4 linked regions of the Cricetulus griseus genome follow. The protein of the gene in region 2 binds, or shares a complex with, the protein of the main gene of each other region. Links are inferred from orthologs where the notes say so. Each region holds a gene or a part of one and is shown on either strand. Other genes may lie near its edges.

Region 1 (8,097 bases), on a different chromosome or scaffold from region 2:
TAAAATGTTCTTGTAAATTATTACTTTTTCCTCCGATGAGGCCAATCTGTTTGCATCTATGTGCACTGATCTCCCCCAAACTCCCAACAGAATCCTTCTAGAACTCCATCTAGGCTCATCATGGTTTGGCGTTCTCTGCCACTGTTTTCTGTGGAGGCTGTAAGTTGTTCTCATCCACTAATTAGGAAAAGCAAAGCAAATTGCCATTTACTGTGTATCCACTGCAATATGTATCACCAGCCAAATTAAGTACTTCCACATTTTCCAAACAGTGCTGCTCCAGGGTTAGTATTCAGTAGAGGCCAGCTGCTATGATGCCTCACCTCATTTCATTCTCTAGCTTCAACATCAGGTGTGGAACCCGGTCCAGAGAGGCTACACTGCTACTCAGGGACCCACAGCTAGTAAATGGGAGCTGGTATAAAAACCTAGGATTGGGCTATAGAGATGACTCAGCGGTCAGTAGCACTGCTCTTCCAGAGGTCCTAGGTTAGATTCCCAGCACCCACATGGCAGCTCACAACCATCTGTTATTCCAGTCCAGGGAATCTATTGTCCTCTTTTGGTCTCCATGGGCACCAGGCATGCAGGTGGCACACAGACATACATGCAAACAAAAAACATAAAAAAACAAACTAGACCTGCAGACTCAATGGGGGCTATTTCCACCTCACTGCACTGCCTTGGGGAGGACATACAGCCAGGCATAGTACCACACATTTAATCTCAGTACGTAAGAGGCTGGAGCAAGAAGATGACTTCCAGGCAGCCCTGTACTACCCAGAGAGACCCGCCTGCCTCAGAAATGTCTTTTAAAAGTCATGGTTCTGAAGCTTTAGAGAATATGAGGATTACCTAGAGCTAGCACTTAGGAAGAATGTTTTAGTAGGTTTTAGATGGAGTGCAAAAGCTGAATTTCTAACAAGATCCTTAGTGTTTGTGCTAGGAAAAGAGGATGAGTTCAGTGCCAAGAAACTTTAGGGCAGCAGGATGGCTCAGCCTGATGATCTGAGCTCAACTCCCAGAGAACTGACTTGTCCAAGTTGTCCTTTGAGCTACTCATACAACATGGCTCACAGGTACATAAACACACACACACACACACACACACACACACACACACACACAGAGAGAGAGAGAGAGAGAGAGAGAGAGAGAGAGAGAGAGAGAGAGAGAGGAGAGAGACAGAGACAGAGACACAGAGAGAGACAGAGAGAAGCTAGCTGAATTTATACCATAGATTGTCATTTACTTGTGGCTCAAATTATTTCCCAATATGAAAGGAAAGAACAACACCTACATTAATCACCCTGGGACTATTTTAAGATTTCAGTAAGGCAACTTAGGCCTACTGAGGGTTCTGTACACCTTTCAGTTTCATTTACCCAACCATTTAGTATTCATAAAATATTTTAGGCCTATGCTAAGTTCTGAGCATCAACTGCTTCCATTAGTGGTTTTCAGTATTCACTGGCCAACAAATTAGCAAATTTAATAGGCCCCTTGCTATTTCAGGGTGATCAAGGTTTGATAGACGAACCCAAGGAAAGTGAAAACTTTGATGTCAATACCCGGACAGCAGAGCCTCAGCTTAAGGAAGGAAGCCAAGTAACAGCAATCTTCAGTTATGAGGCCACTCAGCCGGAAGACCTGGAGTTTGTGGAAGGAGATGTAATCCTGGTGCTCTCACATGGTAAGTCGTATTCCAAATCACAGAACTGGACTCATGTATCAGTAAAAACAAGGTCAAGGTCAGACAGAGAACATCAACTCTTAAGTCAATAGTTTCAACTGACTTCCTAGCTTTTGGTAAAAGGGTCCACATGCAAGGGTGTGGCTTTCTCTATTAGGGACAAGACTATGACATCATCTTGACTGTTCCAGTATGTAATTGGCTTTAATTGTTCTGCCTTTGCTATAAACCATAAAACCTTTAATTGTACCTTCAGGAGAGAAGGGGAGGGCCCATTCTGCAGTAGAGGCACACTTGTGACTTATCTGATTGTTCGGAACCTATGGATTAAGAAGTGAACCAGACTGGAGGGATGGCTCAGTGGGTAGCAGTGGCAGGGCTTTCGGAACAGGGATTCTAGTATTCATGTAAAATCCTGGCTGCGGCCACATTTGTGCCTATAACTCCAGTACTGTGGGAGCAGAGACAGGCATTTTGGTAGGACTGACACCTCAGCTCCAGATCCAGTTAGAGTCCATCTTAAAGGGCTAAGAGAAGACAGACACCCAACTACTTCTGGCCATTGTATGCGCAGAGGCTCTTTACACACAGGTGTGCGCGCATATACACACACACCTTCCCTACACAAAAGTAAAGCATTACGTGAAGAAGTCTCAGTGATTCTCAATGTTCATTATACCTAAGCATCCTTTGAAGGGTTAAGTTTATTGGCCCACCTTCCAGAGTCTGGGTCAGATGTGGGGTGAGGCCCACAAAGTTGCACTTCTCAGCAGTTTCCAAGTGATACTGGTCTAATTATATCAGGAAGTACTGCTGTAATTGAGGTGAGTACTGAGCATCAGCTGCTTCCAGATGTTCTCCATCTGTTCACTAATGCTAAGCATCATTAAGGCAAAGTAGTATGTAGCTGTTTATAATAGCAAATCCAATAGACTGAGTGAAAGACTTGCGGTTACCTGGATAGGTGTGTCAGGGTTTCTATTGCTGTGGAAAGACACCAGAACCATGGCAACTCTCATAAGGGAAAACATTTAATTGGGGCTGGCTTACAGTTCAGAGGTTTACTCTATTATCATCATGATGGGAAGCATGGCAGCATGCAGGCAGACGTGACATCAAGGTAGCTTAGAGTTCTACATCTTGATCTGCAGGCAGCAGGAGACTGCCACACAGGGCACAGCTTGAGCGTATGAGACCTCAAAGCTATCCACCCCCCCCCCCCCAGTGACATACTTCCTCCAAGACCACACCTCCTAACAGTGCCACTCCCTATGTGCCAAGCATTCAAACCCATGAGTCTATGGGGACCATTCCTATTCAAACCACCACAATAGAGTATATACAACTCATCGTGTATAGTGTAGCAACTCAAAGGAGAAAAGCATTTTCTTTCAAAAGAGATTACAAAATCAGTAAGGACTGGGCTTAAGAACCCAGCACCATGTTGTATAACATCTAGCTTTTTGTGTATGTGGTGGTGGTGTTGGGTAAAATAACAATGAGAACACACAAGAAAAACCTTAAGAAGACACCATATCCTATGACACTCATGATAGCCACAGTGGTTTAAGCAGGCAAGTGTCCCTCTGTGCAATCTGTTCTCAAGATAACAATGGGAGACAGAATTTAGCATCTATGGAGATGAAGCTTTAGTGTGTATGACTTGCTGGGATCCTCTTCAAATGGACACTGGCTAACTAAAGCTTGAGATACAGTCAACAGATTCTGCATTTTGGATATGTTCCTAAGACCCAGGCAAGCAGATGCTTCCAACCCATAACCAAACCATAAATAGAAGACTGAAGGTAGTGGTCTGCACCTTAACACTCTAGAGGGAAATTGGGGAATAACTAATGCTTAATCATAGTCTACACTATACTTGTTTTCAAGACAGGGTCTCACTATGTAGCTCTGGCTGACCTAGAACTCACTGAGATTCACCTGCCTGTTTCCCAAGTGTGGTGATTAAAACGGTGTGCACCACTATGCCTGGGACTATAGGAAGTTCTAGTAGCATATCCAAATATGACTTCTGAATGGCTCTTGTATGTTTAAATGGATATAATTAACCTGTATGGTGTGATTTGATGATTACTTTCTGGGTGTCTCTGTCCTTAAAAATGGGGACAATAACTTTTAACTGAGTTACTTACTGTTAAGCCCTGAGTGTGTATTTAGTCACAGTGAACATATCTTATTAAAGGATTATTATAATGCTTGTTTTTACAAATGTACTAAACCCAATTCAATTAACAATTTTTTCCCCCCAAGACAGGGTTTCTCTGTGGCTTTTGGAGGCTGTTCTGGAACTAGCTCTTGTAGTCCAGGCTGGCCTTGAACTCACAGAGATCCGCCTGCCTCTGACTCCTGAGTGCTGGGATTAAAGACGTGCGCCACCACCGCCCAGCCCTAACTCCAAGTTTTAAGGTGTTGATTAATCACTATTGAATTTACCAGCATGCCCTTTCATGTTATCAAAACGAATTCCAGCAAAGCCTAGATAAGATGGTTTCTTAAAAAAAACCTAACAAACCCAAAAACTCCCCTTGATGATTCATGTTCCGTTCTTGTATATTTACAGTAATTCATCCTACATTTTACTCTTATTTATCACATCTACAACAGAACCGGTAGACTTTATGTTCACTTTAACCTCAAATTACTTTCCAGTATGTTACCACAAAGGAAACGGGAAGATGACTAGCTGGGTTAAGTGCTGACCACTTATGACAGTGCCATTTTTCCTGTCTTTTAGTAATCAATATATACTTTGCTTTTATCAGTGAATGAAGAATGGCTGGAAGGAGAGTGTAAAGGGAAAGTTGGCATTTTCCCTAAAGCCTTTGTTGAAGAATGTGCAACCAAGGACTTGGAAGGCACTCCCAGAGAAGTCTAGGATGCTCTATAACCCACAAAGCTGAAGAGCGCTAGTGTTTTCAAGATTTACCCATCTCTGCTATGCACCAAAGACATGTTTGGAAATCTTCTCTAACGTAACATTTCCCTATTAAAACTGAACCCATCCCACAGTTGTGAGAATTTGGGATGATTTCCTTGTACATGAGAAGAGGGAGATAAATTTTCTAGAAAGGGAATGAAGGGCTCTTCTTGGGTGCTGGTTACCCAGATATGAACTTCATGAGAACTTCCGGAGTTCTCATGCCAAAGGGTGCATCCTTCTGTTATGAAAATAGAACAGGACAGTGTCCAGACCCAATAGATGATTGGGAATATTCTTCCTGATGTTAAAGCTTAGGTTTCATTAAAGAGGAGCTAGGTTTAATCAGGTACCCATGGAGTAGAAGATTCATTCCCATGGAGAATTAAACTCTCACAGTGAAAGCTCTTTATGCCTTGTTAGATGGACACTTACTAAGAGCTGAATAGTAAACACATGGCTCTAGCACCTGAATGATGAAAAGCTGTGTTCAGGAGACAGGCTACAGCCATTGAAATCCTGCTGCTTTACCTGTGCTATTCAACACTAATCCACGTGATAAAACTCATGTCATTTTGGTGGTCCCTGTTACCTGGGAACAAGGATCCCTAAACAGTAGACCTTGGGACAGTACCGCCCTGCCACTCTTTGTAGCACATAGGGCTTTACTATTTTTCAAGTTTGTAGGTGCAAGTGAAGAGCAGGAAGGACATGGAGTTTTTTGAGTTGTTCTTTGGTTTTTCAAGACAGGGTTTCTCTGTTTAGCCCTGGCTAAACCAGAACTAGCTCTGTAGATCAGGCTGACCTGGAACTCACAGTGATAGGATTAAAGGCATGCATCAACACGGTCCGGCAGGAAGTTAAGTTTTACGTGGAATCACAATCTAGGTGAGAGGCTAGTACACTGTTGAAGTTGCCTTTGGAAACTGGACAAACTGGAAGAGAGACCACCCTATGGCTAACAGTTATCGATGTTGGTGTCAGAGTCAGTGAAGTTTAAAGGCCAGACAATAAACTGAATCACCTCCTGATGAGTTACAAAGTAGATTGTTCCTGCCTTTACAGAAGCCACTCTACTGAAGAAAGAACTGTGGCAGTCTTATTTCTATCATTTTCCAGAACAATTCACTGGAATGCTAAAAAAAAGCAAAATTAACCCCAAAGCATAGCCAGTTGTGACCATCTTTCTTTGTTCCTGAAGATGGATGAGTAAGTTCTAAGCTCTGTTTTTACTTCTGTACCTTTAAGGCAGAATGAACACTCCACACAGAGTTGGTTGGAGAGAACACGGTTTAATTAAAGGCAAAGCTGATTTCAGCAGCTGCAGATCTTGCACAGACAGACCGGGGGAAAAAAAAAAGAAGAAGAAGAAAAAAAAGACAAACCAAATCAAAACACAAAGGAAAGTATTACACAAAACCAGTTGAAGATTCTCCTCCTCTTCCTCATTACCCCACAGTGAGGATGGCAAGGTGAGGAACCCTGCCGAGAGTCATAAAACATTCCAAACACCAAATTCTCATGCAGACTGGGGCTGAAGATGGGAAGTGGGTACTACTGGGAGGGAGCTGGTAAACCTGTTGGCTGGTCTAAGGTGCAAGAATCAGTGACATTTCCAACATCGGAATGTTGCAGCTGTCTGAATGCAGAGCTTACATACACAAACCGGGTGAAGGGAGCAGGGAAGGAATAGGTAAGAGGACAAAGGTGGACACAGGGAGGGGACTGGAGCAGCACAGAGGGTTTCATTTGCCATTGGGTGGGGGTAGGGAGGGGTTCACTTCCAGACCTTTCAAAAACAAAACAAAACCAAGAAAACCCAAATACCATGTCAAACTAAAAGAGCAATAGAGTAAGTCTGGGGCTCCAAGCACTCTTTCTGAAGAGCAATACCTCACCCCTCTCATTGCCGGGGCAGCCCAGACCCCAGTGACACCCGGGGCTCATGGATGTGCTTTGCTCTACAGCTGTCTTCCAGCTAAGTTCCACACTAACTCCACACTTAGCCCTTGCCCTCTGGGAGAGTAGATGGCCATGTGTGGACACACACACATGCACACACACGCGCACACACACCTACTTCCCAGAAAATAATCCCTATCCTAGCACAGCAATTGGACATTTAGATTGTTTCCATAATTTCCCCTTAAAATATTACTTTTCCAGGAAATGACTAACAGAAATGCTGTCCTTCTGTTCCTACACAGAACATCTTCAGTTCTCTTTCCTCCCAATAAATATCAAATAAAGAGTTTATTCCTTTCTTCCGCCTGTTCCAAAGCGGCGTTCGTTCTGTTTTCTTCTGTGCACAGTGTGCATTTGTCCCTGTTGCCTTCAGTTTTGTTCTTGAGGTGAAGGCTGGGAGCCTGTGACTGGGCAGAGGCCCGGCTCCTCTGTAGCGATGCAGGCACTACTGCTTCCTTCCTCTTCAGACCGTCTTTTGGGCCCCAAGTGCTGGCCCCGTGTTGCTGCTTCTTGGCGAGATGTTGTACACATTAGGGATAAAACAATTACTAGGATACAGCATATGGCTAAAGGGGTGGAGACTGGTGCAAGAGGCTGGTAAGCAGGATGGGGACACAAAACCAACTTAACAAAAAATAACCACACTGAAAGCATCCACCTATTAAAATGTGTTCCAGGCTATGAATGGAATAGCCTGCCTTCTGTGAGACTGCTTGCTACGCTACTGCAAAAGTGTAGGAATCAAAAACATTAATTTGAAATCTTACAGCAGCCACCTGCTGGTCTAGCCCAGCAGCACCACCCACACTGCATCCTCGATTGGGGCTCGAGCACCTACAGAGTGAAGGGCATTTCCTGCTGGAGTTTCCAGGCTGGAGGAAGGCCTACCAGAACCTTCTATGAGGCCTGTACTCTCCCTTATGGAACACTCCCACTGGCTTAAGAGGTCAGTTCCCTGTCCCGTCACCACCGACCTCTCACAGGAGCAGCAAACAGGACTGTCTTTGCTCCACACTGACTAGAAGTACACCTGTGTATGGAAGAATTCAGTGTGATATTTTGCTACTGAGAGTAATAACAATAAAAGATGTTTAAGAATAATTTCAACTACATTCTCAGTCAGCAAAGCACTCATAATGGATTCCTATTTTATTCCCCAAAGAGGAAAAAAGGACTGAGAAGTTCCTATTGGCTTCTCCCATCTGCCTTCCCTTCTCAGCTTCCACTTCCCACGTGTTGGGGACATGCGCGGTGGAGAAGGTGAGAGGCGTGCTGTCAGTAACTGAGCGAGACAAACAGCAGCTCCTCTCTCCTCCGGAAAGCCCCGGGGAACCAGAGTTCCGGATGGGTTTTTTCTTTTTGTTGCACTGCGAACATTTCGTGCACACTCAGCGGGCTGGTGGAACACTTACACCCTCTCGACAGCAAGAAACAGACAAGAGGGCTGCCACCTGCAGGGACTGTGTGGGCCAGTCCTGCAAACCCAACATGCCATGGTTTA
Region 2 (8,097 bases):
TGATAAGGTTATTGTTGGCATAAAATATGAACTTAAAATCTAGAACGTTTACTTTATTTTTAAATTTCATGACCTTGACCCCATTGTCCGTGTTCAATATCCCCTCCTTTAAAAGTTGAGGAAAACTTATCAAATAGAATGGTAATCTATATGTGCTGCAAGTAGGCGACTGGCATCTGTGAGAGTAGAGTTCAGTTTCCTACAGGTTGAGAGTCAGCAATACCTTATTTCCATCTGTTCTTGCTTTACATACCAACCAATGTTACCTGTCTTTCTGAGCTTAAGATGAAAAGAAGAGGAGAGAGAAAAGAGAAGAGACAGACTGATATTAATTTAGTATGTTGACCAAGTAGTGAAGCAATCATGCAAAACCCTGAAGGAAGATAAAGTCAGTTGCTGAAAAGTGTAGTGGCACTGGAATAACAAAGTGCTGCCTCTAAGCTGATTGTATCCAGCTTTGTAACCACCTTTGTCAAAGCCAGAACTTGGAGGAAGCCCTGTCCTTTACTTGACTCTAGTATCATGTGGAATCCATCTATTTAGATTTATAAACCTCATCTGACTTTTCCTGTTTGTGCAGCTGGTGTGGTTGGGGTTGAACGTCTTCCTCTTTATTCACTACTACAAGTTTTATGATGATGGACCTAAGTACTTTTATACTCGAAAACTCCTTGGGGTGAGTAAACTTCTACCTCATGCAATATCAACCTGTTTACACTTCTAGGCAGATGTGCTTGTATGTATTCCTTTTAAGATTGAAAATAAATATTCTGATCAACCAAGACAACATCACCAGCTCCCCTCCCCAAATGTAAATTCTTTGGCAAGAGTCTCTTAAGGCCTGACAGTGTAAAAAAAAGAAGAGTCTCTTAAGGCCTGACAGTGTAAAAAAAATGAAGTGTGGCAGAGGGTCCTAGCTGCATCCCTCTTTACCCATTATGTACCAAGCTTAACATAGGAATCCCTATAATGGAAAGCCTAGTGGGAGCCACCCATACAGAGGTGACACTGGTGTGACAATTGAAATTTTCTATAGTTTTCTAAGTTAGATGCTTCATATCATTTTTTATTTGCATGGAGAAGCCCTCATAATGACATGTGAAATGATCTTGAGGAAATGAACCCTAAGCTACATCTGGAGACTTGTGGGAACTTGTTTGTGTACTACATCATTTCAGTAGGCCAGCAGGAAGGAGAGCCTTGAATTTCTTTGAGTCCTTAAGTAATCTGTTTCCTTGAACTGTTATGTCTCTTCATCACAAATGAAAATAATTACAACTACTGGCACTCCCAGAGCACAGCATTTTTATATAATGCTGAAAACAATTACTTATATTAATGTTATAATCATTTGTTTAAATATTATCAAACATCACATTGTTAAATCTGTCTTTAATGTATCCACCATGATCTGTTCTCCTTGTATAATAGGCAACTTCTTTAGATATTGCTAAACAGATTTTGCCCAAGTATTACGCCATACAGTTAATGTCTAAATGCTAAGGGGACTTTGTTTAAAATCAAAGATCTAGTTCTTATACTGACCTCATGAGAATGGTATGTACACTTAAAGATTTAGGAGGAAGTAAGCTGATGCATGCAACTTACTTTAAAACATATCACATATATAAGAGGGCTCAAAGGATAGGAGTTCTTGCTACACAAGCATGAGGGTAAGAGTTCAGTTCCCCAGCTCCCATGTAAAAAGCTAAGTGTGGCCACACGCACCTATAACTCCACTATTGGAAGCGGGAGGGAGTAGTAGAGACAGTAGGATCCCTAGAGCTTACTGAACACCAGACTAGACAAAAGACAGCGAGATCCTGGTTCAAGGTGAGACCTTGTCACAAGGGAATAAAGCAGAGAGCAATAGAAATACAGCAGGACACCTGATAGTCTCCTCTGATAGAGAAAGGGATGGAAAGATAGATATATGATAATGCATGCATGCTAAAATGTAAAAGGTTTAGTCTGGGAGGTGGGTAAACAAAAATCAAAGTACATTTATTTCTACTCCTCTTCAGGTTTGAAACTTTAAAATATTCAGTTGGGGGTGAAAATCAGCTTCAGGTAAAATAAAGCATATCAGTAGACCCTAAGAAAAGGTTCTCTGCTCTGAAGGAAATTCCATTCTGGATGTCCTGAAGGAGCTATGTGGGGGTCCCATGATAGCGCTCAGGGGAGAGAAGTATGGGTCTTCTGCTCACCAGTCTCTCTCCTCCCTATCCACTCCCTTGTAGTCAGCACTGGCTCTGGCCAGGGCACCTGCAGCCTGCCTGAATTTCAACTGCATGCTGATCCTGCTGCCAGTGTGTCGAAATTTGCTCTCCTTCCTCAGGGGTTCCAGTGCGGTAAGAACAAACCTTCTGCTGACTGCCTCAACTTTTCAAGCCGTCATGCTCTTTTTAAGGAAGAGCAAAGTAATGCATTGGGAAGCTTATCTTGTCTAGAATATTCAAGAGCTACACCATGTCCTATGCTGTCATATACATCACATACATATATCAACACACATAAGTATTTATCTATTAAATGGTATATATCAAATTATAATATACTATTTGAGGGTAGTGTTCCCTGGAGCAATCATTTGACTTGGTAATTTTGAAAAATAGCTAAACAAACTATATATCAACAATAGTAATGGAGTAAACATACATGTGTTAGGGGTATATGAGCCAGACATGTGATATTTTGGAATTACCTGCTCAAGAATATTTTTAAGTTTTTATCAGAGAAAACACTTTTTGTGGGTAGCATCTCAAGCAAATTCAGTCATTGCACAAAACAACATACCATAAGAAAATATCAGTAGTAACAGTTGATTCCTATGGTGGCACATATCTATAATCCCAGCAATGAGGAGCCTGAGACAGGAAAATTTTAATTTTGAGGCCATCCCAGGATACATAGTGACTTCTAGGCTTCTCTCAGCTACATCGTGAGATCATTTTAAAAAGAAAACAAAAGTAAAGAAAAGCAAAGCAAAGGATTTTAGCTTCATGGGATTGAAAGCTTCAGAGCTTTCCTCATGTCCATAACCCCCTTTGCCCTATAAGATTTTATATATGTTTTAAAAACTGGTAGCATTATATGAAGATGAAAATTAAGTCATTAATATTTATTTATCACATGTGTTCAAAGAAATGTTGTACTGAGCAAAATACGGTAGATCCCATAAAACATTAAAATAAAGAGCCATAGGCATCAAATATGACAGAAATTACATTAGATGGGGTAGGGAATGCCAGGAAGGTTTCAGAGAGAAGTAGCTTGAGAATCAGCATGTAAGGATAAATCAACAGCCAGAACTGGTTGATGAAATAGGAAAGTATTCTAGTTCAGTCAGGTTCCCCAGTTGTCGGACCGGAGTCGGTGATCTCTCACTAGCTCGGGTCAGCTAATTCTGTGGGTTTCTCCATCATGGTCTTGACTCCTTTGTTCATATTATTGCTCTCTGAATACAGATGACAATGGTGTGGCTGAGGCAATATCTGAGGCCACTGGCAATGGGTCGAAGATCTAGCTCTAATGCACAAACTGACTTTGTTGAGCCAATTCTATATAAACAGATACCTTGCCCATCCTAGACACAGGGGTGTGGAGGTGGTCCTGCCTCAAGGAGATGAATGGACAGACTTAGTAGACCTCCTAGGGGAGGCCTTACCCTGTCCAAGGAGCAGATTGGAGGTGGTTTGGGGGGCAGTGGGTGGAGTGGGAGGAGGGGAGGAGGGGGAACTGGGATTAGAATGTAAAAAATAAATTAAGAAAAAAGAAAAAAAGAGAAGTATTCTATGCGGAGACAATAGCATGGGCAAGAGCATAGAAAATGATGAGAAATTTTTATACTCAAAATGAAAAATATTTTAATACCTTCTGTATTACCCTTTATTGTGTTCCATTTAAATGTATTTGTTGGGCAAAGCATGCAGCTCAGTAGGACAGTGCTTGCCAACTATGTATGAGGCTGTGGGGTCAATCATCAGTACCAAAAGAAATGCAAAGGATGGTGTTTATCCAATGTATGAGTTGATGCTTAGATTGTTTTCCTTCTATGAACATTTGTGTACTTGGAGAATGAAGATGAATATGTTCAGGTTCTATCTGTCTTGGGAGAAAGAGGGATAGTATATTCTTCCCAAAGGGGAAAAATATAGAAACAGTGCACAGAATTGGACAGGTTGAACATGAAACTCAAGCCAAGGACAGGCAGCATCCTGAGCTGGATTGAGATATATTTCTGTGTAACTAGCCTTTAAAGCCTAATTATCAGCAAGACAATGCTTCACTTTGGGATTTTTTTGCTATTTCTGACCATATTGAATAATTCCTGAGAAATATTTAGGGGTTAGTGTCCTCCTAGGACCTGGAGTTCGACGGCCAGCTAGTCTTGCAGAATAGGTGAGCTTCGGATTCAGTGAGAGATTTTGCCTCAAAATTAAGGTGGAAAATAGAGAAGACACTTGACATCAACTTCTGAGCACCCCACAAACTTGTCCACCCCTCCCCCTCACTCCTAAAATCTTAAAATATGTAAGTTAAAATCAACTTTGAGGGAAAACAGCAAGCAAACTACATTTATGAGAGGACAGTAATTGTAATGGGTGTCTACGGCAGTGGTTCTCAACTTTCCTAATGCTGTGACCCTTTGTACAGTTCCTCTTGTTGTGGTGACCCCCCCAACCATCAAATGATTTTCATTGCTACTTCATCACTGTCATTTTGCTACTGTTATGAATCATAATGTAAGCTTCCATGTTTTTCTACTCCCTGTGAAAGGGGTCACGACCCACAGGTTGAGAACTACTGCTCTAAGCTAAGACTTGGAAAGAGAGCAGGAAATTTGCTGGGAAACTAGGCACTTAAAAATAGAGCTAAGGAATTAACTCTTCAGTTGACAATTACTGAATATATGAACTAGATTGTGATTTACAGATTCAACTTATGTTTTACTTTACCTCCCTCTTTCGAGTCATATAAAATTCATATTAGTGTAAAGAAGAGTTTTTATTTAAAAACATACATCCATCAATTTGCTAAAATGGGATGAGCAGACAACAATTAAACTTTGATACTACCCACCTCTTTACAAAATACCATTTCATCTTAAACTGCATTCTCAGGGGTCTGAGAAGAGTCGGGAAAAGGTGCAGCTTGGTAGTGCCATGCAGTCAGCCCTGAGTTCCATATGTAGTTGAGCAAAGTGTTAGAGTCATTTTGCTCAGGAGCAAAACAACAAATCAAACAGACAGAAATAAAAGAAGAATGTTGGCAAATCCTTTGAGCTTCTCTGGAAAGGGTCAGGTCCTTTAGCACTGGAAAATATTGTGACAAAGCTCCTTGATCTAAGTCATTAATTTGATGTCACAATTTCACCTTGCAAACTGAGCAAAACCAGGGCAAAATCTCACAAGAGTACCTTGTGGTGGACATTGGCCACGAGGCTTTCCAAATAATCTCCTGAATGGAAGACTCCACAGACATGAAATTTCACTGGATTGAAAGGCTGAGAGCCAAGCTGCCCATCCATCTTTAAAATAGTACAGGAGCCAGATGAAGAGTTGCTAGATGAAACCATTGCACAGTGACTTTTTGTTTTTTATGGAGACATGATTTGAGTGCTGTAAAAAAATTCTCCCTGTCCCCACTTGAATACTTTCTATTTAGAGGAAGTAAAGCCTGAGAAACAGGCAGTGTTTTCACCAAGGTGGTCAGTTAAGAAATCCTGGTTACCCCACAACCCGAAGTTGCATAGCCTTAAGTGTCCATTTCCCATGAGCACCACATATAAAATGTCATGAGTATTTTTAATAGCAGTGGTAAATTGGAGAAAAGCCCAACTGTTTAACCAGATAGCTAGATCTTCATACAGAAGAACCGTTTCCCCCACTCATTTATTTATTTATTTATTTAAATTAGCATATGGAGTCATGGGCATTTTCATACATACTTGGTTCTGGCTGACCAGGCTCTTCACTGTCTTCTCTCCCCATCTCTCTGTCATTCATTGCCACTTATACTCCTCCTTCCCTAGAATTGCTCTTTATGCTTTCATACCACCTCTTCTGTGACCCTTCCTTCCCAATTCCCCTCCCTCAAAAACAATGGTCTGTTACAGGGATGGCATGCCCTTCTTTCTGAAATTGGCCGTCTGAAATTTGAACTTGGAAAAATGAAACTACTTTTCTGATTGAGATGTTAATGCTGTGACTAATGTTGGAGATCGGAACTGTCATAGCTCACTGAAGCATCATAGAACTCATGTAAAAGGAGTGAGGTGGCAACACAATTAAATGGGAGGATTGGGGTTCAAAGCCAGGTAATTGTGCTCCCAGAACCCATTTGATTTTGTATGTGTCAACTAAACATCTTGAGCTGTCCCTGTGGTTCTGTTTAATATGACTATTTGAACCTGCTAAATAACCTACTCTAGAAATGGTAAGGATATAATAATTTCAAGAACTTGTTAATGGAACACTGTGCTAACTAAACAGCCATGGAATTTTTGTTTGGTTTTAGAGGTCTGAATCATTCAGACTTGGGTTTTGAACCCTTCTGGTTGCCCCAAGGATAGGACTAAGCATACAGAAGTCCTTGGTGAACTTTTAATAACCTCGCTTATGTGTAGAAACAAATTTTTAACTTGTGACCATCCTAATCTTCAGGTCAGACTGAAACAGGAAGGTTAAAAGATAAGGTCTTTTGCCTTATGTCTTATATAGTCTCAGAATCAGAGGGCCTTGAATGGCTCCACCTCAAATGATGTGTCCTCCTGGAGGGAGTCCCTTGTGCTTTCTGTCTCAGGAATGATTTAGCAGGGAAGTAGGTCAAATAATGCAAATTAAATGTGAATATGCCCTTCTAGGAAGGGCTGTAGCTTAGTGCTGAAGAACATGCCAAATACAAAAGGCCCTAAATTCCATCTCCCATGTTGAAAAAAGAAGATGGATGAACATACTTTAGTAAAAATATACTGAAAATTAAGTTTGTCAGTTATTGAATTGTCACCCTGGTCTTTCAATATATTAATAACTGGAGACACAGAGTGAGTAAGGGCAGATGGCCACAAACTTAAGGAGCTTAGAGTCTTGTGGGAGAGATGTAGAATAAACATGGGATTTCAAAATTATAAGGAGTGCCATAGAAAGTGTTATCCTTCATATTTATCACATATTATTACCACCACCATGTGTGGGCATTACTGTCAGATTCTTTGCCTGAGTTCTGTAGGTAGATGTATGGATCGCTCTTGACATTTTACCGAAAATGTTTATGATCATGAAATGCAAACACAATCAGACAAAGTATACATAAAATAGAGCTACAAAAGCTCACAATACACCCTATTCAATATGTACTGCACTTTAGTTCCACTTTTCATTATTTTGAAATTCAGTTTCAATAGAACATAGAAATTTGCCAGGATGTCCCAACAATTGCCCTTGCTCTATAATGTTAGTTTGTTGAAATTGGGCAAGGCTTTTTGTGACAGTAACAGAGAAACTTCCTTTTAGAAGTTAGTGGACAAAGGCAAAGAGGTAGTTCCCTGAGGAAGCTATAAGGCATGATGACAGCTTGACTATTTGGGAGATGGCTGGTAATAATTCAGAGGTGGGCCAAAGCACAGAAATGGCATCTGTAGGATAAGGAGGAACAAAGAGGGCCCAGGCAATCAAAGACAGTAAAGCCCTTCCTTCAAACTTTACCAACTGATCATCCTGCCTCATTTTCAGGAAGTGGTGAGAAGATCATTTTCTTGAAAGTTCAGCATCAGCATGACTTGTGGCTTCTCTTTATGATTGCTGACCACACTGAAGATAGCAGTTAGGAAAAATGAAGGATTGCTATCCTGGTGGGACCTATTCCATTGACTCATGAGTTTTCTCTTTGAATAAAATGTGCTTTGCATTCATTACATGTTAAGATAAAATGGTTGTCTCTGAATGAACACTGTATTACCTAATGATATCTCTCCATTGTTCTAGCACTACATCTATATTTTATGGTTGTGTCAAAGATTGGTAAAGGACATCAACATCTGTTATTTCTCAAATTTTATGGATGCTAACAATAGCGATAAAGATGGTACTATGGAGA
Region 3 (8,697 bases), on a different chromosome or scaffold from region 2:
ATCATGTGTGTGTACACGTGTGTACATGCATGAGTGTGTGGACATGTATGTGAGTGCATGCACTTGTGGGCATGTACATACAAGTGTGTATGTTTGCATGTGTGAGTATGCACGTGTGTGCACACGTGCACATGTGAGTGTATGTGTACAGGTGTGTGCTTGCATGTGTGAGTATGCACGTGTGTGTAGGTGTGCACATGTGAGTGTGTGCCCTTGCATGTGCATGCAGGTATGAGTATGTGTACACATGTCTGTGTGTGTGTGTGCATGCAGGTGTGAGTGTGTGTACACATGTCTGTGTGGGTGCATGCAGGTATGAGTGTGTATACACATGTCTGTGTGTGTGTGCATGCAGGTGTGAGTGTATGTACACATGTCTGTGTGTGTGTGTGTGTGTGTGTGTGTGTGTGTGTGTGTGCCTGCAGGTGTGAGTGTGTGTACACATGTCTGTTGTGTGTGCCTGCAGGTGTGAGTGTGTGTACACATGTCTGTTGTGTGTTCATGCAGGTGTGAGTGTGTGTATAAATGTTTCTGTGTGTGTGTGCATGCAGGTGTGAGTGTGTGTATAGATGTTTCTGTGTGTGTGTGCATGCAGGTGTGAGTAGGTGCGTGTCCCCCCACATGAGCACACGTGGAGGCACAGCGAGAGTGTTACATGAACTGGAGAATGGCTGGGGACAGGCTAGAAGACTGTCAAGACTGACTAACCAGGGTGACAGGACATCAGAAAAGACATCCCTGTCACCTTAATATCTCTGTTCATATGGAAAAGTGTTCAGAAAGATAAAACAGAATAAGATCCAAAGTCTCTGTTTTGGAGAAAAGCAATGAGTGTCTTTCATGGGCAACAGGTCCCCTGTGTTCATGTTAAAACATCAAAAGCATCTTGCTCAAGGTGGGACTGAGGCTCCATACCTGGCTCTGTGGGCTTCTTCAGATGAGCCAAGGAATGAAGATTATAAAACCAGGAGGATGAAACAACACTGTCTCTCTTCTACTATTGATAAACTGTCAGCAAGTCACTGTCAGCCTTTTTAGCAGGTCTCAGATTAAGCAGTAACAAGGGCTGGTAAGAGGGTTCAGAGAGTAAAGGGCTTTTCTGCCAAGCCTGATAACCTGAGTTAGATTCCCCAGGATCTCACATGGCGGAAAGAGAGAATCTGCTCCCACACACTGTCCTCTGACCTCCACAGATACAGCCTGGCAGGTGATTTTTAAAAAGTTTAAAAAGCTGTCGTGAGACTTTGGCCTAGGTTTCCACAAGCGTAAATCTAGTATGCAAAGGCTGACATTTCCCTTACATATGGGGAGCAGATAGGAAATTCAATTTAAAATTATTAGCTTCAATAGTGCTGAGAGTAATAAGGAATCAAGAGATAAATCTTTTGGAAAATGTGCATGACCTTTCTGGGAGGAAATGGCAAAATTTTATTGAAAGATATGAAGGAGAAAGAGAGGATACTATAATAGGCAGGCAGACTGAGTGTTACAAAGGTATCAGGTCCCCACTCGCTGCTGTAGATTGAACTCAGCATTGCCCAAGATTCTGGTGCCATTGGCTTAAGCTTATTCCACAGTGTAGATGTGAAATCTACATCAGCAACAATCTCAACAATCTCAAGGGTTTCCCGATTGCATGTAAAGGCTTAGAGCTGGGGTAACAGAAGCAGGCTTGTGCTGGCTGCTGGGAGGGCATGTGGACCAGCAGAGGAGAGGACAGGGTTGGCTTGCAGATGACAGTCTTGGCACATGAGACAGCTTGACTGCCACTCACTGAGAAAAGAGAGGTGGAACTCTGTTTAATGGATGGCACTTTGTGGTGGTCAGCATTCTGTCAATATGGCAGAATCTAGAATCACCTGGGAAAAGGGCCACCGAACATGGTTACTGGAGTTTGATCACGTTGATTGAGGTGGAAAGATCAGCCCACTGTGGGTGACACTGTCCTGTGGGCAGGGACCTGGACTGTGTTCATGGAGAGAAGGATCTGAGTGGCACTGTGTGTTCACTGTTTCCTGATTGTGGGTGACCAGATGCTTCCAGCTCCTGCAGCTTTGGCTTGCCCTCTGTGGTGAACCAGAATAAACCCTTTCTCACTTAAGTTGCTTTGGTCAGAGCGTGTTCTCACGGGGGTAGGAAAAGAAACTTAGAAAGCACTAGAGAATTCAAATTAACATCCCACAACAACTACAAGCAGTCCTTGATCCACTCCACGTGTGACAGAAACCTTACACACTTTACAGAATATCTTTATAAAATTGGGTAGGAATGCTTAAGGAAGACTTAAAGAGTATAAGTCATTAGGGAAGAAAATTTAAAGTTGACTACATACAAACACATAAAAACATTTATAAATATCATAGCTTATACAAAATAATCCCAAGACTGGAAATGAGCTAGGCAATGTTTATAGCAATACACACTTGAAAATCAAGCACTGAACTTATCCAAATAATTATGAGAGGAAAAAAATATCCCAATAGAGAAATGGACAAATATGTAAATAGGCAACTTATGCAATAGGAAACTCAAAAGTTCAATAAACAATCACAACCACAAGTGCCCAACAAAATACCCCAAACACAAAAGCCCAACAACACATGGCAAGTGTCTCAGTATCCCTAACAGTCAATTGATACAATCAAAATGGCAAGAAGCCTACATCAGCTTGTAGGCAGGGGTTTTGGTTTGGGATAGTTTTCCAGCTAGGATCTTGTTATATAGCTCTGGCTGGCTTGGAACTCACTCTGTATCCTGAACTCAAGCTCACAGAGACCCTGCTGTCTCAGCTTCTTTGGATTGCAGGTGTGAGTCACCATGCTGTGAGCAGCTTTTGACAGATAGCTTGCCAAGTTTCTATGAGCTTGCTTTACTGCATCTGACCCTGCCTCCCCTCCTTTCTCCTTCCCCTACCATCTTTCTCTCACGATTCCTCTTCTTCCTTCTCTCCCATCTCTCCCTCCATCCGTTTTCCTTCTCCTCTCTTTCCTCCCCTCCTCTTCTCTCTCCTCTCTTCCTCCTTCCTTCTCGTTCCCCCTTCCCCTCCTTTGCCTTTTATCTTCACACTGGCCCCTGCTCAGGAACCCACCACCACCACCACCTCCACACACACCAGGCATCCTCTGTTGGACATTACATTTCACAGCCACCAGCTCTCCCCGCTGGTGACTCTGAGGTCACTCTCTCATGGCCCCTGTCTCCTCCTGCCTTACTCATGGCTGTGATGGAATTTCTCTGCATACTAAGAACTCCAGAACACCCTGACTTCCTGTACTTTAGAGTCACCAGCTCCCAATACAATGCCTGACACATAGTAGGCACACATTAAGTGCTTACACTTGGATTTAGGCTAACTGGCTTCTGGGAGGATGCAGATTCTTAGGAGCCTGGCCTGCCTTCTCTCCCCCCTCCATGTTTGCCCTCAAGCCCCAGACTGCCACCAAGGTAACTCTGAATGAGTAGAACCATTTTGTCCCTGCCCTAGGTCAGGAAGTGAACCTCCAAGCTCAGAGGGTGCCCTGATTCCCGTTGGAACTTGGGTCTGGTGCCCATGGGTGGCCCAGGCCCAACTTAGCACCTGAGGGGCCCCAGGTCCTCTTCCAGACCGCATGCTCCACCCCCCTCAAGGCTGTGGGGCAGCAGCTTGGGTAAGTTCCTCTTCCGTTTCCTCCTGCCTCCTGAACTCGGGTGTCGCTCCTCACTGCAAGACACCTCCCAGCCACTCCACACCGCTGGTGTCCACAGCAACTCTCCTGGCCCCCAAGTGTCATCACTGGCTGCTGGGTCTCGAATGAAATGCAGGCCATCAAGTGTGTGGTGGTGGGTGATGGGTAAGTGCCTGGCTGAGTTGTCTCCCACCCCCTACCAGGATGTTGCCTCCCTAGCATACTCACAGGTTGAGGGCTCCCAGGAGGTCCTGGGGATAGTCACTTCCTCTCCTAGGGCTCACAAGGAACATTTGGGGTGGACCTGGATTGCTCTTCTGTTCCCATCCCACCCCATCCCGGAAGCCACCTGGGTGGAGGGCCTAGGACTGTGGGTGGGGTACTGCTCCTTGCCTGTACCCTGAGAGCTGGGGTAGGGCTCCTGTTGGGGGCCTGGAGTTATGTTCCTATTCAGTGTGCAGGTGTGAAGTGAGGAAACCAGGCAACTTGACCTTTGGACCTTTGTTCTCCAGGCTGACCTAGACACTGACTTGCTGCTGCTGAGGGACTACTGAGAATTTCCACTCTTTCTGACTCTTATCCCGCCATCTGTGCCAAGGCCTCTCTGCCCCCAGGGGTGGGCTGGGGTCGCTTGAGACTGTCCTGCTTGTAGTGTAGTGGGGAAGATGAGAGGGGATGTCAGTGAGGAGTATGGGGAACACTGGGGAACACTGAGGCCAGTGTAAGGGAAGGAGGAAGGTGAAAGGGGATCGCGGGGACTTCCAGGGGGCAGGCTGGCTGCACCCCAGCTGAGGGTGCATAACCATTGTCAGATCTTGGGACCACAGGCTGTCATGGCCCCAGAACTCAATCTGATGAGTAGTCAGTGGGTCCCAAGGCCACACTTGGGTTCTGCTGGTCTCACTGGGGGCAGAGGCTATCTGCTGCTCAGCTGACTTTATTGCCGTTGCGGCTGCTGCTGCTGCTGCTAGAGGGGTGTCAGCCAGCCGTTATCTGCTGCAGCTGCCTTACTCACTTCTGCTTTGTATCTGCTCTGAGTGGGCGAGAGGGGGGTGGCCGGAAATCAATGGTTCTACTCATTCAGAGTTACCTTGGTGGCAGTCTGGGGCTTGAGGGCAAACATGGAGGTGGGAGAGAAGGCGGGCCAGGCTCCTAGAATGGGAAGTGACTTAACGGAATAGAGCTGGGGAAGGCCCAGAGCTGCCCCTCTGGCCTCTCTGCTTCCTGCTTGAATGACCTGGGCAGCCTCCTAGATTGGCAGGGAGACAGCCTAAATGGTGGTCGTCTCTATTTGTCCCATTTCTTTGTCACTTACTGTGCGTGGTCACCTGGTCATGGCCCTTTGTCTAATTTAGCTTCCCACTAACCCTATCTGCCATCGCAGAGTTCATTTCATTGGTGGGAAGACTGAAGCCCAGAGAAGTTAAGAAACCTCCCTTAGAGTGCAGAGGATTTGAACCCAGGCCCCTTTGGTAAAAAGCTCCATACTCTATAAGGCTGCAGGCATTCCTTAACAGTCATTGGTTGTTGTGGCGCCTTGCATGGGTTCAGTCTGGTCTTAGGAGTGTCACTTTATTCACTGGGAAGATGGACTTGTCCTTGTCATCTAGATGCGGAAAGTAAGGTACAAGCAGCTTAGGAGACTTGCCAAAGTTGTGTAGATGGTAAATGGTGGAACTGGGATCTGAGCCCAGGTGTGTGACAGCCTTGTCCAGGTCTCCATGGCCCTCTTCTCTGCTCAATGGCTGCCTGTGTCTATCACCTGCACCCAGGACATTGGGACTTGTACAGTTCCTCAGTTCTCCCAAGACGCATGGCTCAGACCCATGGCCAGGATTGAAGTCAGTGTATTTATGGGTACTGTGGAGAGGTTGAGAGCATGGCCACGGGGTGTCTGGAATTGGGAGACTGAGGCCCAGAGATGGGAGCCTGTGTAGAGGGCTTGGGTCTCCCCTTGTCTTAGGCACAGCCAGTGACCTTGTCTCTTCTGCTTCTTGTCTCTTGTCTTTCAGAGCCGTGGGCAAGACGTGTCTTCTCATCAGCTATACCACCAATGCCTTCCCTGGAGAATACATCCCCACTGTGTGAGTTCTGCCTGCTCCTGGTACTTCTTGGGGGTCTCTTCTTTGGACCCCTAAGGTCAGGCAGGCTAGTAAAGCTAGAGAGACTCCACCTTGGGGAAACTGACCCCAAGGGAGGTGGATGCTCCAGAAGGAAGAAGGACTGTGGGATGGACTGACCAGGAGAAGAAAGTAGGAGTGGAGACGGAGTGTGGCAGTGAGGGAGGAGTAGCACTAGAGAGCAGCAAAGTTAGGGGACCAAATTGCTGGTGTGGGGCAGTACCAGCTGCAATCTGTGGGAAGACTTTTTTCTGGTGCAGGATATAGCCACAGGGGGCAACCATGATACAAAGTGATGAGTGTCCAGGTGTCAGAAGGGACTCTGGGCAACCCCCACTCACAGGGAAGCTCCCCAGTGCCTTGCACAGATTTCAGTCTCTTCAGGCTCTCCCTCAGTCTCCTTTCCTAGAGATTTTACCCACTGTTTTGCTTTTTATACCAACACTCCTTTGGTAAGCCTGCTGTAGGGCCTTTGCATCAGCTCTTGCCATGCCTGTGGTGATTTCCTGTCTCATCCTCATGTCTACACTCTCCAGCCCATCCTTGGTGTCCTCCTGGGAGCCTTTGATCAGGCCTAGAGTCCTATCATCCCCCAGAGGAGTCTGCCAGATCTCCCCCAAGATCATGAGCCTGTGGAGGGCAGGAGCCTTGTGTTTTTCTCGGGCTCTCCTCACCTTCTCTACATGGCGGTTGACACACAGTGTCATACATACACAAAGTCTTATACATGACAGATGTGTTTTGCAGTGACAAGGCCCAGTGGAACCATCACACTAGTTAGAAGGCCTTCAGTTTGGTGGCCCAGTACAGGATGTCACACTCCTGATTGCATCGTGTCCTCAAGGGAAGAGGGTGTTACAATATCCTGATGGCTCATTGCAGCTAAGGGGCTTGTCCCCCAGGGCCACTCAGCCTGTATGGCTTCAGAGCCTCAATGGGGCCCTTACCTTTATCTTCACGGGAGCCCTGCCTGGAGCATAAAGGGTAAACAAAGGGACACCCAAAGCCCACCCCTGCAGGCCATCAGAGGAACCACCAACCCCACTAATGCCAAACCAAGGCTCTACTCCAAGTCCTCCATGTCCCTGTACAGGGCTCCATTTCTGGAACAGGGATTCATCTGTCTCTGACACCTGGCTTAGCTGGGAGGACCCAACAAAGGACAGCCAGAGGGGCTGGGTAGACAGCTGGACATTGCTTTTTGCCCAGTTGTGTCCTGATATGAATGAACACTAGAAACTGCCCTGCTGCGTAAAGTGGGGATGACTCTTGCCGTCAGGTTTCTAAGGCTCTGGGAAGTCAGAGTGACCCTAGGTGTGCAACCCCTTGCACGTCCCTACTCCTAGACCTGAGCAAGAACAGGAACAAAGGGGATTCTGGTTGAAGGCCACTGTCACCAGGGTGTGTTGATACTGCCCTTGTCCCTGAGTCAAGACCCTATCCTGTCTTTACTTGCCCTGGCTGTGGTGGAGGACCCACCTGCTCAGGGATTTCAAAGTGGCCACAAAGTGGCCACTCTCCCTCTGAGCCCACGAGCCTCAGTTTCCCTTTTTACAAGAGACAGACCCTGGACTGGGAGATCTGAGCCTTGTGCAGCAGCTTCCCTGTGAGGAGGTGGGAGATGAAGGCTGAGGTCAGGTGCTGAGGTTTGCCCCTGATTGATAGCCCTGTGCTATTGTGTAGGTGGCATCTGGTGCCAACTGCTGCTGGGGTTTATTCTTCTGAGATGAACCCGTGGCCAACAAGGTTGGCACACACAGCCTTAGATGGCCATACCTGCGAGAGAAGGGTTCTGTGCCGAGTACTAGGGCTCAGGGACATGACAGCAGCCTGTGCCTTCAGGCACAGAGACAAGGGTCCCCACCCTGGCTACCTCCTGACTCTGTCCAATGAAAGCCTGCATAAACTTTGCTTTTTTCCCCCATTTTGTGGTAGGGTATATACTATAGCCCTGACTGACCTAGAATTCACTGCGTAGCCCAGGCTGGCCTTTAGCTTATAGCTAGCCTCCAGTTTCTGCCTCTGTCTCTCCAACAGGCAGGTTCCCGGTAAGTTTTGTGGGGGTTCTTTTTGTTTGTTTGTTCTGTAGTATAGGCTGGTTAGTCTAAACTCACTGTGCAGATGAAGATGACCTTGGACTCCTGATTGTTCTGCCTCCCTCCACCTCTGGAGTGTTGGGACTACATCACATCTGGTTTTATGTCGTGCTGAGCTTACCAGTCCCTAGGCAAATCTTTTTATTTAATTTTTTTCCCTAGATGAACTTTCAAAAGTAGAATTTAGGCAAAGCCACAATCTGGTCTAAGTTCCTCAGGTGGATTCCCTTTATGCTTAAAACCCAGTAGAAGTGTGTATCCAAACTCCCAAAGGTCCACCTTGGCTGTCCCATCTCGTCCAGGTGTTCAGTCAATGATCCCTGGGCTCTCGACTCCATGCTCTCCCTCAGGGGGACCCTAAGCATGCCTCCCTTCCGACAGCATTCCTGGCCTTCAGCAGTCTGTCCCTTCCTTCTCTTTCTCTCAGTTTATGTCCCACCCACTGAGAACTCTTCAGGGCTGGGTCAGAGCTGTGCAGGGCCAAGGGCCTGGTGTAGCTAGCTCACTCCTGACTCTAAAACAGAGTTTCAGCTTCTAGAATATCATATTGCTGCTGCTGGCAGTGGGCAGATCACCCTGGTTGGTGAGTAGAGCCCACTCTGCAGGCTCAGCTCCATAGGGAAGAGCTTATTGTGAAATAAGGTTAAATGGACTTAATCTGTGCCTTCCATGGTGACCCTGGCTCTGATGACTCAGTAGGGACAATCTGGCCTTCCCTCAGCTGCCCTGACACCAGGCCTTCAAGACCCAAACCATTCCTGAGTCCTCACTCTGCCTATCTGGCCAGTCCTCCCATGTCCCCCAAGACACCAGCCA
Region 4 (6,965 bases), on a different chromosome or scaffold from region 2:
TCATCACAGGTAGGCAATACTGACATCTGGGTCATTGCATTTTTCATTTGATTGCAGACGAGTCTGGTGAATGCCATGGATAGCATAACCTGTTTTTTTTTTATTTAATTTTTTAATTATGTAAGTGTATCTATGTATGGGTCTGTGCAGGTGCATATAGGTGCTGTGGAGTCCAAAATAGTGTTACATCTCTGGCGCTGAAGTCACACGAGGTTGTGAGTGGCCTGCGGGTGCCAAATGTTGGACTTTCTTTGGGCTGTCAGTCCACAAATAACGAAATGGAAATTTATTATGAAAGTTTGGCTTTTAGCTTAGGCTTGTCCCCAACTACCGCCTATAACTTAAACTAACCCGCATCTATTAATCTGTGTTCTGCCATGTGGCTTTTTTTCTATAAATAATTATTTAAGTTTATTTTATGTGCATTGATATAAAGGTGTCAGATTCCCCTGGAACTGGAGTTACAGACAGCTATGAATTGCCATGTGGGTGCTGGGAATTGAACCTGGGTCCTTTGGAAGAGCAGCCAGTGCTCCAACTGCTTGCTTCTCCAGCCCCCATGGCATGTGTTTTTTTCTACATCTCTTCCATTGTGTTTGTCTGACTTGGTCCAAATCTTGTTGAGGTCTCTGAGTGCCTAAATTCATCCCAAGTTCCTTTCGCTGCTCAGAAGTACTGCCTATTCTCTCCTGCATAGCTGTTGGCCATTCAGCTCTTTATTAAACTAGTCACAGTGACACATGTTCACACTATGTGATAAAATGGCCCACAACAGTGCTGAGAACTGAACTGGGTTCCTCTGCAGTAGTATATATTCTTAAACAATAAGCTATCTTTCCAGTCCCCCCCTCCCTATTTTTAAACAAACTTCTTGGCTGTGTCCCCAACCCTGCACTAGGTAGCTTCTACCTGCTGCCCCTGAACAAGCTATCCTGCTGTGAGACAGGCCTGCTTTGGGGGGCTGCAGCACAAGAAGAAGGGGAACTCTCCTTGACAGTTAACAAGATAATCCCTCTCTCCACAGGAATATTATCCACTGGCCTGGCTGCTGCCTATTATAGTGGAGGTAAAGTATGTTTTTCCCATCAGCTTCCTTGTACTTGGAAATAAACAAAAAGCAGAGAGCATTCCTAGTGTGTGTAACCTTTGGGGTGGCCTTTGCCTTGCCTTGTGTGAGAGATGACTATAGTCCATGTCCTGTACCTTAAATTTCTTCCTGTTATAAAGTACTCTCGGAAAGAAGCTCTTTAGTATTTATTTGCCTGCCACTTTGCTACAGGGAAAAATCGTGTGTCTTACCCTCCATGACAAGGTATATAGATCTACCTGTCTCCTAGGTGGACTTAGGCAGAGTTTGGGATACACATGTCACCAACGACCCAGGAAGGTACAGGAACGCAGTTGACTAAGCCTGTAACCTGAGATGAAGGAAGGAAAGGCTGGGCTGGAAGGACCCTCCTGTGGACATATCACTTTGGCTCCTTTAGCTAATGGGCTGATATACTATCTCTGCTTGCAGATAGTCTGGGCTGGAAGCTCTTCTATGTCACAGGCTGCCTGTTTGTGGCTGTACAGAACTTGGAGGATTGGGAGGTAAGATGGTATAGTAGCACCCTTCCCATGGGAAAGCATCTGTCCAGGTCCACAGGCACTGGGTTACCTGGACTCAGCCTTTGACTTAGCTTGTAACATTTCTGGACTCTTCTAGAAGCTGCTCATAACTTTTTTCACCAAGGTTCTGTGTTGTTCTTCTGCAGGCTTGCCTCAAACTCAAAAGTAAGCCTACTACCTCAGTCTTCAGATAGGCGTGAAGCACCACACTCAACTCCAGAAGTTCTTTTTTTCTAGGGTTGTGGCAATAAGTCTGCATTGTCCCTGGGCTGGACTAGCTACACAGGCAGGGACCTGTGAGACCATTCTGCTAACTCAGTTGGACCAGCTCCCAGGCCCTGAAGTTCAAGGGTTGGGGGCTTCCTCTGACCAGCCAGGACTTCACTGCAGGCCTAAAATAGTTGAAAGGAATCAGCAGAAACTGAGCCTGGGAAAAGTCAGGTGGTAGCCTTTGGGGGCGTCCCCTATCCTTAGCTTTAGCCCTCTTAGGATTATGGAAGCTTCCTGGCCTGGGCTTCTGCTTTTTGCTTAATGGCCTCATTGCCAACCTGTCTTGTTGCTCTTTTATTTGCCCAGTACTGAGGGATGAACTTAGGGCCTCATACCTGCTGGGCAAGTGTTCTATCACTGAGCTAGATACCCAGCCTGGTCTCGTTCTCATGCAAAGAGAAAAGGGCACCTATTCCGTCTGCTTTCTCTCACATGCCCCTTAGGCACAGAAGGTGGCTCTGGAAGAGCCCTGAGGGCTTTGGGGGGTGGGTTTCCACTGGGCATCTTGAGTATTTGTGCCAGTGTGGGTGTGGTGATCCCTCAATACTAGCTTGCTCTCTTCCTGGAGTTGTGTGTGTGGTTAGCATACATTGGTTTGCAGGAAGCTATTTTCAACAAGAGCACTGGGAAGGTCATCTTAAAAACATTCAGCCTCTACAAGAAGCTGCTGACTCTCCTAAGAGCAGGCCATGACCAAGGTAAGATGTGGGGAGTTGCAGTTTGGTGAGGGCTTGGGGAGGTTTGGATGGTTTGCTTGCTCAGGGAATGAGGGTCCCCCAGACAGATCCCAGCTTGCAGGGTGGGATCCAGGCAGATACCCCATCCTGCATACTTAAGGACTAAGCCTATCAGTAAGGATGGAAACGCCTTATCAGCTCCCTGCGGTTGGGTAACAGTAGTTGGAGTGGGTCACTGTGCCAAGCATACTAGCAGGAGTCATCTGTTCTTCAGGGCCCACTAGGCCTCTCTTAGGCCCAGGTCCTGTAGCTGTTTCCTATCAGCTCTGCTAGCCTAGCAGTGAGAAGATGGTCAGAGGAAGCCCCCAACCCCTGAACTTATGGGCTTGTGAGCTAGTCTGTGAAGTAACAGGCTCTCATAGGTCTCTTCCCTGTGTATTCAGCCCAGCCATTGTGCATTACAAACATGCAAGTAACTGTGTGTGCATCCCACAGGATCCTAAGTAGGCTTTAACATAAGGAGTCAGGCCTCTAACTTGTATGGAGTGCTAACAGTATACAGCCAAAAGTAACATTCGAATGTGGCCCATTCATTGGCCGTGTACAGCCAATGAAGACCAGAGCAGGGTTGTGGGATGCGAGCTAGTGCGCTGGCTCAACTTTCCCAGGCTGCTTGTTGAGAGCCCCAGCACAGACAGCAGGCCACGGGGTCAATCTGATGTCACTGTGGCAGTGGGGTGAAATAGGCTTTCCAGTGGCTCCTGGGAAAGCAGTATCAGCCATGCATTAGTTAGGCAATGGTTTTCCTATACAAGGAAATGACAGGGGTGCCCCACTGGAACCAGATAGGTTTTCCAGCCTTCGGTAAAATCAGGCAAAAAGAGTAGCATGAAGATGGCAGCTTGGGCTTAGTGATCCCAATAGGATTGCTCAGGGCAGCCAGCTTTTGCCTAAAACTGCAGGAGCGATGAGTCTCCTGAATGTATCCTTATCCAGATGTTATTCTGAATCCACAGTCTAGAATGTGGAATAGTAAACGCTTTTGTCACTAATGCCACTCCTACTGTTAAGCAGAGTTCTACAGCATAGGGTAAGAGCATAGGGATGGCCGCTCATCTGCAAACCCTTCTGTCCCCAGTGGTGGTCCTGCTGAAAGACATCCAGGATGTGAATGTGGAGGAGGAAAAGGTCCGTTACTTTGGGAAGGGCTACACTGTGGTGCTCCGGTTTGCAACAGGCTTCTCCCATCCCCTTACTCAGAGTGCAGTCATGGGCCGACGCAGGTAAGGGTGGTGTAGAGCAAGACTGGGCTATCCCTTAGTGTTTCTCAGGGCAGCAGGGGAGGAGTTGAATTTTGTAGACAGGAACATGGGGCTGGAGGAGGGATGTATGTACTTAGGGGCAGCTTTGCCATGGATATCTGTGGGGAGGGGGGCAGCACAACAAAGTTGATGTCTGTTAAGAGTATGACTGAGGCCAGAGGTACTGGGCCTGTTTGGGACACCAGTGGTTGTTGTAGGTGGTGGGGGATGAGACAGTGTAGGTCTTCTGTGGTGTGTTATGGAACCTGTACCCTTTGCCATGGTGACCTGCTTTCTTGATGCTCGCCTAGTGATGTGGAAGCCATTGCCAAACTCATCACTAGCTTCTTGGAACTGCATCGCCTGGAGAGCCCCTCAGAACGGTCACAAAGCAGCGACAGTGAAGCCGATGGCCCTGGTGATCAGAGCTGACAGTGTAGAGTGGCTGCTGGTAAATGTCACCCCCTTCTGACATGTCTCCAACTGACTTGCCAACTGTGAGCATGCAGGCAGATCTTGGACACCTGCCTATGACTCCTTGGGCAATTCTTGTGTGGACCACCTGCCTTTTGCTTGTTTATGCTTCTACGCTTTGCAGAACCATGGGCTGATGTGCTCCACAACCCAGAAAGGCTGCATCTGTCATGATGCAGGTGGGGGGAGCTACATCCAGAGGAGGGCAGGGTCTCAGAACTCAGTGCCTTCTCCAGAGTCAGATGGCAGTTCTGGCTTAGGCAGCACAGTCTGGTTTGGATGAGCTCACCCAAGGGCATCTGAGGTTTAAGACGCCAGTCTTTTCTTCAGCATAGGCCCAGTGCCTGCCTTCAAGAGGCCTTGCCACCCAGGCTATTGTAGTGAGAGTGAAACACCTACATGCCTGTAAGGAGAACCCTCTCTCTGTGCATAGTGGTGTCGACTTATTGCTATAAATCCTGATATCTCTTCTCCCCACCCCTCCTCAAAATGGACATCCTTGGTGGTCAGGGGCTTCCCTGAAGGCAGCTCAGAATGCTGGATGCCTGGATGCTGCCTGGCTGCAGAACTCTCAGAGAAAAGTGCTGCCGACTGCCCTGTTCCTGCCTAGACCACTTGTCTAAGGTCCCAGCAGTGTTGTAGCACAGCTGTTAGGAAGCTCTCCCAACCCAGCCTGGGGAGAAGCTGCTAGTGGAGGAAAGGCCACCTCTTCTGGCATCCTGCAGCCTTTAAAACCTGGGAGCTCCTTTACAGAAATTGAGTCTTAGCCTCTCAAGCCTTGAAAAGAAGGTAGACATGTGAGGCACACCCCTGTAAATCCCAGTTTTAAGTGAGGAATGAAGAAAGTTCAAGGCCAGTGCAGGCCACTGCCTCTTCTAACAGAAGTTGGTACCTGCCACTGATGGCTATTTCCTGCTCTTCTAGTTCTCTTCTGGGCAGACTCAAGTCCCTCAAAAGTAGTGCTCATGAAGTTTCCAGCTTGGCTTCCAGGCCTGAAAGCTGTGGACCTCTGGTTTGCACATAACCCCCCAAAGCTGAGTACCTATGCCTGGCCAGGTAGAACTGGGAAATTGAGGAGTTATATAGACAAAGAAGTCAAGGCAGCCTTGAGGCCACTTTGCCTGGGCTGAGCAGGAGTAGTTAGCCAGAACCTAAACAGGTCTTCTCTGAAGTGACTGCTACCAGTTCTGACTTGGGGAACATGATCCCTTGAACTTGCTAAAGTGAGCTTTTTAAATGGCCAAGTTAGACATTTTTTTTTTCCATAAATGAAAAGTGGAATACAGCTGTTGGCTTTTAGCTTGTTGCCTACAGACTTAAGGTACTTTAGACAAGGGAGAGGAGTCTCTCTCTTGGGTGCTGTCAAATACCTTTCCTGTATATCCCAGTGCTGGGACTCATTATTGGTGAAGAAATGAAGCCCTTTTCATAAGCAAGGGGTATGGTAAAAAGCTGATTCAAGTTCCTGTTAGGATTTCTGCTTCTACTGGTCTTTTTATTTCATAATTAATAAAGCTCTACATGCAGATTGCAAATGAGTCTCCATGTGCCTTTTTCTGTTTTCTGCTTTGCCCAAGGTAACTCTATGCAGTTTGGGAGCAGTCTGGCCGCATGGCTGGGCCCTGAGGCAGGAATCTGGGTGCTACCCAGGCAGATATCCAGGGCTCCAGCCCCCCCCTCAGGGGTTCTGACCTGTGTCCCAGCCTGGGCTGGCGGGTGGTGGCCGTGGGGCGGCTGCCTCGCCCAGGTCCTGCAGTAGACCCTGCAGTCGCTGCATACTCGGGAGCACATTCTCCTCCAGCCACTCCTCTACGGTGTCCGGGTAGAAAGTCAGCTGAAGTGCTGCCTCCAACTGCTGCACGAGGTTGCTCCACCTGTTCAGAAGGCTGAGGGCAACAACAGCCACCAGTTTGACTTGATGAGAATTCCTGCTAAGGCCCGAGTTTACATAGCTAAACTCATGTCCTCAGCCCCTAGAGCCAGTACTGTTACATGCCTCAGTTTACCATCGGGATGAAAATAAATGAATGTCTGGTCACATTTTAACAATCAAGACCACTGCCTGGAAGTTTTCCTCACAGCCATGAACGGTCATGCTGTTGGCAGCAATGTACTCAGTGCAAGTATATTCTTACTAGCCTAGCTTAGAATCCTGAACCAGGAGAGGACAGTGCAGGCTGCCTGGGGCTCCATCCACAAGGGTGCTCAGCACTCGGCTAGGCCTCACTGGGGAGTTAAAGAGCCAGCACGGACCTGAGGTGGACTGATTCCAAAGATGAGCCGTGGGTCAGCGTGGACATGTGGCTGATTATCTGTTGCAGGCCAGGAATCATTTAGCTTCTTGCTAACATTAGGGTCAGTGTTACTGAGCAGTGGCCTATCAATTCATCCAAGATCTACAGCTGCAGTACCTGGAGAACTTGTCTTGCCACGCACAGCACTGATAATCATAACCATTGCTACAGTGTGTGTTCATAAAGGGGACAGCGTGTTTGTTCCAGAGGCTGAACACCTGAGAGGATGTGATGATGGTGGCTACCTGAGTGCCTCGGGCTGTATGTGCTGGATCATAACTGGGTGAATATACTTCCTCCTGCGATGGTAGGGGCTGAACCAGCCAGTGACAAACCTG

The links.
Region 1: cytochrome b-245 heavy chain (region 2) and Ncf2 share a complex: the UniProt entries of both Homo sapiens proteins name them as parts of the phagocyte NADPH oxidase complex. The link is inferred for Cricetulus griseus from reciprocal best matches to the Homo sapiens genes CYBB and NCF2.
Region 3: cytochrome b-245 heavy chain (region 2) and ras-related C3 botulinum toxin substrate 2 share a complex: the UniProt entries of both Homo sapiens proteins name them as parts of the phagocyte NADPH oxidase complex. The link is inferred for Cricetulus griseus from reciprocal best matches to the Homo sapiens genes CYBB and RAC2.
Region 4: the proteins of cytochrome b-245 heavy chain (region 2) and cytochrome b-245 chaperone 1 are in contact, whole or in part, in a cryo-EM structure (PDB 8KEI), measured with the Homo sapiens proteins. The link is inferred for Cricetulus griseus from reciprocal best matches to the Homo sapiens genes CYBB and CYBC1. Residues at the interface, in NP_000388.2 of Homo sapiens: Trp28, Asn74, Leu75, Leu76, Ser77, Phe78, Leu79, Arg80, Gly81, Ser82, Ser83, Ala84, Cys85, Cys86, Trp206, His210, Phe212, Pro266, Met268, Trp270, Lys271, Ile273, Tyr280, Tyr324, Phe326, Lys328, Leu335, Glu336, Trp337, His338; in NP_001028218.1 of Homo sapiens: Arg22, Leu26, Ala37, Ser41, Gly42, Asp43, Trp47, Phe50, Tyr51, Phe57, Gln61, Asn62, Glu64, Lys77, His97, Asp98, Gln99, Val100, Val101, Val102, Leu103, Arg108, Ser111, Glu115, Val117, Arg118, Tyr119, Phe120, Arg129, Ala131.

What each region holds. Positions count from the first base shown.
Region 1 is NC_048598.1:38,801,192-38,809,288, reverse strand, and holds the end of Ncf2 (neutrophil cytosol factor 2), read left to right. Parts: intron 1-1,515; coding exon 1,516-1,693; intron 1,694-4,476; coding exon 4,477-4,589; 3' UTR 4,590-4,914; downstream 4,915-8,097. UniProt on the Homo sapiens protein: Subunit of the phagocyte NADPH oxidase complex that mediates the transfer of electrons from cytosolic NADPH to O2 to produce the superoxide anion (O2(-)).
Region 2 is NC_048604.1:115,384,169-115,392,265, forward strand, and holds part of cytochrome b-245 heavy chain, read left to right. Parts: intron 1-580; coding exon 581-676; intron 677-2,240; coding exon 2,241-2,351; intron 2,352-8,097. UniProt on the Homo sapiens protein: Catalytic subunit of the phagocyte NADPH oxidase complex that mediates the transfer of electrons from cytosolic NADPH to O2 to produce the superoxide anion (O2(-)).
Region 3 is NC_048595.1:375,668,225-375,676,921, reverse strand, and holds the start of ras-related C3 botulinum toxin substrate 2, read left to right. Parts: upstream 1-2,930; 5' UTR 2,931-3,795; coding exon 3,796-3,830; intron 3,831-5,677; coding exon 5,678-5,749; intron 5,750-8,697. UniProt on the Homo sapiens protein: Plasma membrane-associated small GTPase which cycles between an active GTP-bound and inactive GDP-bound state.
Region 4 is NC_048600.1:133,700,067-133,707,031, reverse strand, and holds the end of cytochrome b-245 chaperone 1, read left to right. Parts: intron 1-1,024; coding exon 1,025-1,066; intron 1,067-1,519; coding exon 1,520-1,593; intron 1,594-2,482; coding exon 2,483-2,579; intron 2,580-3,696; coding exon 3,697-3,841; intron 3,842-4,170; coding exon 4,171-4,291; 3' UTR 4,292-5,868; downstream 5,869-6,965. Other genes in the region: Hexd (hexosaminidase D), read right to left, coding at 6,012-6,219, 6,873-6,962. UniProt on the Homo sapiens protein: Functions as a chaperone necessary for a stable expression of the CYBA and CYBB subunits of the cytochrome b-245 heterodimer. Controls the phagocyte respiratory burst and is essential for innate immunity.